Linked DNA regions of Lepisosteus oculatus. The protein of the gene in region 1 purifies or fractionates together with the protein of each later gene. This does not show direct contact. Links are inferred from orthologs where the notes say so. Each region holds a gene or a part of one and is shown on either strand. Other genes may lie near its edges.

The links. Proteins that work in one complex are often made in the same cells at the same time.
Region 2: the proteins of heatr3 (region 1) and tmem186 purify together in Homo sapiens (co-immunoprecipitation; 3 studies listed by BioGRID and IntAct, counting the BioPlex papers as one, with this or other methods). This does not show direct contact. The link is inferred for Lepisosteus oculatus from reciprocal best matches to the Homo sapiens genes HEATR3 and TMEM186.

The regions. Positions count from the first base shown.
Region 1 is NC_090715.1:1,959,573-1,963,326, forward strand, and holds the start of heatr3 (HEAT repeat-containing protein 3), read left to right. Parts: upstream 1-1,302; 5' UTR 1,303-1,498; coding exon 1,499-1,639; intron 1,640-3,754. UniProt on the Homo sapiens protein: Plays a role in ribosome biogenesis and in nuclear import of the 60S ribosomal protein L5/large ribosomal subunit protein uL18 (RPL5). Required for proper erythrocyte maturation.
Region 2 is NC_090714.1:13,665,490-13,669,115, forward strand, and holds tmem186 (transmembrane protein 186), read left to right. Parts: upstream 1-1,382; 5' UTR 1,383-1,579; coding exon 1,580-1,582; intron 1,583-1,903; coding exon 1,904-2,614; 3' UTR 2,615-3,019; downstream 3,020-3,626. Other genes in the region: pmm2 (phosphomannomutase 2), read right to left, coding at 568-679, 1,069-1,143. UniProt on the Homo sapiens protein: As part of the MCIA complex, required for efficient assembly of the mitochondrial complex I.

The DNA.
Region 1 (3,754 bases):
GGAGATGAACATGCTGCATTGCTAGATTCAGAAATCGCAACCCTGTTTTACTCAGTTAATAAATAGGACTGGATGCTGAAACATTCTCTCTCCATGAGGATGCCAAAAATCTGAAGTATTGTTGTTTCTTTGAAAAGTTATTTAAATGACATTGGTCAAAAGCCATCTGTTGAATCTTTTGTGGTCTTGCATTGCATTGTATTATTTCAGACTGTCATAGCTTAGAAGCATCATAGTAGAATTTTATCATCACTTTATAAGAAGAATTCTCTGAATGTTTTTTTTTATATTTTTGCTTTAATTATTTCTCTGGCAAAAAAAGTCTTACGGGCACATGACTAACCTTTTGATTTCCAACAGTGCAATTGTAGCAGATGTTTATTGTAACTGATTTAATTTTGTTCCCCATATCTTTCAATAAATATCAATTTTAGTGTTGTGTGTATTGTTTTGTGTTTAAACCTCAACAGCAATTCTGAATGGATGGTGATGAGACTACAGCTAACATTTAGAAATTAAGCTTAAACACACACCACTCACAAGGCCAGGCCTGGATACCCAACTACCTGAATATTTGCTTTTGTGTGTTAGCTGAATCAACATTAGCAACTTCCAGACAGAATCTTTTGCCGATACATTAAATACCATCAGTTCGTTTCTGACAGAAGAGACCTCACAGGACAGGGGTGTTGGTCACACATTTATTTTTGCGGGGGGTAGTCTGTCTAGCCTAAGGATCCCCATATAACTAAATTTGTGAACTCTTAATGTAAAAATGGGTTCAGCGTGCAAACCCAAAGACTACCGATACAGAATTGGCACTTACCATCTCTGTGAAGGTTATAGTTTTACAGCAGTATTAAAACAGTCTGTTACCTCTGTACTGCCTGGAGTTTTTCTCTGATGAATAGCAGAAATGGTTTTGCACAATGAAAAATGTTAAATGACCTCCAACAGCTCAAATGCAATGCGAAATGAATACCCAATATAGAATATGACTGCCTCGTTCATTTCTGACAACATCCCGCTGCTTAGTCGCTCTCTTCAATTTCCTTCTGCTGTTAAACCTAAAGGGCCGTGATCTTTTTAATACCATTTAAGCTACTGCATGTAAAATCAACTGGAAGCGCAAAAGCAGAAGTTTTAGAGATTTTAATCCGTGCCACAAAACACGATTTCTTGATTTTTAAAGTCATGGGACTTGGGAGAGGCTGTTCCTTCTCCGCGAGGCGGCAGCAGCCCCCGCGCGGCGCCCGAGCCCGCTCCATCGCGCGCAAGCCCAGCCCCACGCTCGGCGTCAGGCCGCGCGGCGTGCGCGTGCTTGCCGGCGCGACCGTGGCGATGGACGGCGGCGGCGTGCGGGGCTGAGCCGAGCTACACTACACTACACTGATCCGCACATGGCCGGGCGCAGCGCTTGAGATCGGAGTGCGTGTGGGTCCCGTAACACAACCGCGCCTAGCTGCCACTACCGCCTCGCCCCGCAGACGACAGCGCGATGGGCAAGAGCAAGAACAAGAAGTTTAAGCGGCCGCAGTTCTCGGCGGAGGGGCTGCCCGTCAGAATCGGCCAGGAGGAGGTCGAGGAGGACGGAGAGGCTGGAGAGGTCGACACCCCAGCCGGCGAGCTGCTGGACAAAGTAAGAGGTTTTCGTCTGGCGGCGGTGTCCGGCGGTGTCGAGGCCGGTTGAAACTAATGCATCTAATCGGCGTCACATGCTTCCGCTCGGCCCGGCTGTCCCCCAGTTTAAAAGGGCTGAGCGGAGGCACGTGCGATTAGCGCCCCTGCAGGGAAAGTTAGACCGCTTTCTCCTTTTAAACCACCACCAGCGCTTTTCTTCATCTTGGCGTGTCTGTAGTGGTTACAGAAAGTTCAGCGACATGTTGCCAGGCAGGACAGTTTGTTTAGCACACTACAAAGCGCGCTGGTATTCACCGACTCTTGGATTTGGGAGCTGGTGATTAATTCTCCTTCCTCTTCCGAGTTGTTTTCCATGCATTGGTACGCTCCTCCGTTAGTTTAGTCTAAACGATTTGAAACACGAAAAGATCATAAGTTTGTTCCAAACCCCAATAACTCTCTGTGTAAAGACGAGCCTTTGTTCTCATATTTAGATGCACTTAGTGTACACTTTTATCGCGATATTGTAACATCGTTTGCGTTTTTATTGTTCTCCCAAATTGTCTTGAAGATGATAATTGTATCAACATAAATACATGTTTTCTGTAAGTGGACTCAGCGCAGAACTAGTTTCCTCTATTGTATCTATATATTACTCTTCTGCTTGAATGTGACTCTGCACTTGTGGACATCAATCAAGTTCTCAAATTTCTCTGTCACTTCTTTAGTGTCTGCAAATTGATTAATTAATAATGATATACGGTCATGTGTTATTCATGACAGTCGTGGTGGGGTCCTGAGTTTAAGTCCGGACCTGGGGTGCTGTCTATGTGTGTGGAGAATGTGCCAACTCCTGTCCTCCCACAGTCCAAAGACCTGGCTTCTGGGAAAACTGGCCCTGTTCTGAGTGCGTGAGTCTGCGTTCGTGTCCATCTGGCCTGTGATGGACTGGCGTCCCACCCAGGGTGTTCCCTGTTTGCACCTGTTGCTTACTGGGATAGGCTCCGGCTTCCCTTAGACTGTGAATTTGATAAAGTGGATAGGAAATGGATATGATAAGATAAGATCACTTTATTGGAATATACAATTTCTTGCATTAGGAATTCGTCTTTTCGCATACCCTCGCCTGCTCTCCATGAGACACAGACAGGGAGAGAAGCTTGGGGTCAGAGCGCAGGGTCTGCCATTGTACGGCGCCCCTGGAGCAGCTGGGGTTAAGGGCCTTGCTCAGGGGCCCAACGGAGTAGGATTCCTCTGCCAGCCGCGGGATTTGAACTGGTAACCTTCCAGCCACAGGGGCAGATCCTGAGCCACAGAGCCACCGCACTGCCCCCGGTGGACGAGAGCAATAAAATAACTCATAGTAATGATCCGTCAAAAAGCCTGTTGCTGAACCAAGGCCTACAAGGTCTAGAACTAGAGCTCTCTTTGGGCATCAGTGTGCAGGAATTCAACGGACCCTGTTTAACTGGTTCAGTCTGTAAGGAAGTGGGGGCTCGTGTATAGTGCAGGTGTGTATTGGGTCTGAAGCGTTGCAGTTAGTCGTTAAGGATACATGCTGCAGTAGGGTAGAAACTGTTCTTGAGTCTAGTGGTCCGTGCTTTAATAGTGCAGTCCCACTTGCCAGAGAACAGTCTGTGGCTGGGATGGTTGGGATCCTGAATGATGATCGTTCTTTATTGCGACACCGGATGATGTGAATCTCACCGATTGATGGTAAATCACATCCTATAATCCTGTGCGCTGTTGCCACAACCCTTTGTAGTGCGTCTCTGTCATGCATGGTAATACTGCTGTACCACACAGTGATGCCACTACTGAGGACGCTTTCTATGGTGCTGCAGAAAATGCAGGCGCTGTTGTGCCTTTTTCAGACCGGCTGTTGTGACACCAAGCCAAGTCCGTAGAGATCTACAGACCCCAGGAATCTGAAGCAGCTGACAGTTTCCACTGCTGTACCCTCGATGCTGATTGGGGCGAGACTCCCTCTGGGTGTCCTGATGTCCACAATGAGTTCATTTGTCTTGGTGACATTCAGGGCCAGATTGTGGTCAAGGCACCATCTTATAAGGTGCTCCACCTCATTCCTGTATGTGGACTCGTTGTTGTTGACCAGCCCAATAATAGCGGTGTC
Region 2 (3,626 bases), on another chromosome or scaffold:
CTTACATTTACCTTTTTTTCTCCTCCTTGTATACACTACTTTAGTTACTAATACTATACTAATACTTTAGTTATTAATGCTATATCCTACAAATACTGCAGCTACACTGATCATTATCTCAGGCTTTCAGTCTTGACCAGCACCTGAGAGCCTTCCTGCAGAGAGGTAATTGTACTAAAAACCCCTCCACTCAAAAATCTTCAGATCAAATAGGCATAAATTACAATACCTTAGATTTACAAGGCTTTGTTCCCAGTGTAGGTTCAAATGTGAAATACAATATCTTTACAACAAAGGATGCATTTAGCAGCAGGTATGGTTGCTTGTACCTTCCTACAAATATCATGCATTTGTACAGATTCTGGAGCTGCTAAATGTAATACTTTATAATTATTAAAGAAAAAACAGCATTAATAGCCTGGATTGGCTTCAGATAGTTAACCTAGATCACAACAAAGTCATTGTATTGCTTTTGCCTCAGGGTGGGCAAATTACCATCACTCATCTTCCAACTGACTTGCAATATGATTAATCAATCAATATGATTAATGGCTTGTCAATACTCACCATCTGCTCCGAGCTGCTCTTTGATCTTTTCAAAATCAGATCCCCCAACTACTCCAACTCGCACCCTCTTTCTCAGCCTCTGAAGAAACTCATCCATGTCAGGGGTGACTTTCTGTGGAGGGGAAAGTTTCATAAGAATTTAAGAACGAAAAACCCTATTTTTAACTATTGATTACTGTTGATTGTTCAAAGAACTCTAAGTCAGTTTGCTTTTCCCTTTTCTTTCTGTGTTGTCTAAATATGTTCGTAAAAGCTAGCCAGAAACTAAAATCAACGGTGCCACTTCGACATCAGAGTGACTGGCTTGGAAAGATCAGAATGGAAACACGTCTTTATTTTTGCTGATTTAAACGTTCTCGTCATCCTCATTAATCCGCGCCTTCTGAAACTGAATACCCCAGCATCCCGCGACGACCCCTTCACATTTTCAGGATCATCTTTAGCTTCTCCAAAGAAGAACGAGCATTTCAGGAAAACCAGCTCGAAATATTTACAACTCACCTGTCTTGCTGCAGTTAGAGTCCCATCGACATCGAACAAGCAGAGGGTTGTCGTATCCTTCCCAGATGGTGCCATTTTCTTAACTGTCTGACTGCTTGTTTCAAATAATGAAAAGATAGTCTTGATTGTGATTAACGTGAAAATAAAGTCAAATATCACAGTCACACTAGACCTCTTCCACCAGGAAAAGATTACGTGTCACTCTGGGACATGTAGTACAGTTTCGGTTCACCATCGGCGGAAATGAGCTAGCGAGTCCGGATGTGGACTACAAAGACATTATTTTAGAGATGGTTGAAGTAACCGAACTCTAGAAAAACAATGTATGTCCGTTTTGCGGTTAATAGTAAGCAGTATCATATACACGATTTTGTTTGATTCAATAACGTTCTTAAAAAAATAAGGATCAGGGGGAATTCGATGAATTCGGTACTCTGTCGAAGAAGGCTTTGTTTCCCCCCGGAGCGTTTATGATGTCATCCCTCTTGGCTTGCAACTTCGGTCTGCTGTGATGGTAATTGACTTTGCACCATCGTTCCTTTTAATATCTGAAGCAATTACGTTTAGGATGATGCATTGTTTAGCAAATACTTTTATTATGCTCAGGAGGGTTGCTCTGATATGTGTGAAGAGACGTTTGTGATTGTGACACGTTTATTACAGCCCAGTCGAATAGAATACTGTTAGCTAGTTCACCTGTTTTGTGGTATTTGACATGTTAATCTTGGTCTGTGTCTTAACCTTCATGCTTGGGTTTATTCATTATTAACAATAAATTAGTCAAGTACACGAGTCTATAATAAGCAAACTTTTCCCCCGCTTATCTCCTTTAAAGTACAGATCAATACTGTCTCTGCGAACCGTTCGTGCTTCGCCGTGTGTGTGGCCCGGCGCTTCTGCTTCAGCGCATCGTGAGAGATGTCTGGTCGGTGGCCGTTCCTTCACCCCTCACCAGCACGAACGCCGTCCCCTCGCTTCGATGCAGGAACGCACAGTATGGACCACACTTAGGGTGCACAGCCAGCTGCTAACTGGAGCCCACCAAGACCGCTCCAATGAAAACCGCTCCAATGAGAAATTCTCCCTGATCTACAGGCTTCCAGCCATCAGGGTCCTCAGGGCAGTGTCCCGACTCAAGCTGCTCCAGACTGGGATCACCGTGGTTACGCTGCCTCCTGTATACTACCTGTTCTCGCAGGGACTGTGCTCCGGCACCCTCGTCAGCTACGCCACAGGCGTTGCTGTCTTTGCCACCGTGATGCTGTTCTCTTTGAGCCACTACCTCCGGCACATCATCGGGATGATGTACATTAACAACTCTAAAACCGTCCTGAAGGTATCCCACCTGACCTTCTGGGGTCAAAGACGGGATCAGTATGTCCCGGTGGCGGATATCATGACCCTCGGGGATACGGGGGACCCCCACAATGAGATGTTGCTGCGGTTTAAGCGCTACAGCCACCCTGAGGTCCTGTACTTCACCATTCGCCTGGGACAGGTTGTGGACAAACGGGCATTCGTGGAAGTCTTTGGTCCTGTCCCCTGACACTCCAAAGAAAGCATTGTTTTAAAATGGTTTCCCGGTGAAAGGCGAAGGATCGGCAGAATGAAACACTTGACTTAATCTGTCGGAGGAAAACTGCCACTATCCAGTATTGCAGTGACTAGAATCGTGGATGTTTTGGCTGGGAATGCCTGTAGCGGTGCTGCTCTTTGGCATTTCCTTACGGCCCAGCTTTGCAAATCGTTCTCCGGCCGGGAGGCTGATCTGTAGCCGCCGGGTGAAGATGCCGAAAAAGAACAGGACCTATCTGGGTCGGGGGCTGGACCTCTGACACTGTTTGCATATAGTGGTGGTATGTAATATAGTGTTGAAAAAAGGCCTTCTTGTGTGCTTAATTAGATCATGAATTAAAGTATGTGTATGAATTAAAGATTAATTTAACCCAAATTGACTTACCTAGCGCTATAAATGGGTACGAATGTATTTTATGGGAGCAGCACCTTTACCCATGGCTACACCAACAATGTCTGGCTTGGGATTTGAACCCATACCCTTCCGGTTACAAGGCCGGAGCCCTGACCGCCACTCCACACTTGAAATGGGATGTGCACGAGTGCTGCGCGGAAGAGAATCCTTTTTCTTGGGTTTCCTTGGTGCGACCGCGCTGCGGCCTCTACACCTGTGTGCTGGATTCGATTGTCCAGCTTGTCTGGGTCCTCGGCTACCTTGTGGGCGTTTGCCTGGTGCTCCCGTTTACTCCCACACTCCACAGCCGTGCCGTCTGCATGAATGGGCATATCTCAGTTTATAATAATAATAATAAACTTTATTTTATATAGCGCCTTTAAAGGTGGCTTTTCATAGCACTTTACAGAATGACAACAACAATAAATAAAAAGAATACACATGATAAAACACAATTACAATATATAGAGGAGACCGTGGATGGTGGTACTAGGAAAAGCAGAGGGGTGAAGAATGGAACCAGTTCAGTAAAGGCTTTTCTGGAGAAGAGGGTTTTGAGTCTGGATTTGAAGGAGTTTAGAGAAGGAGA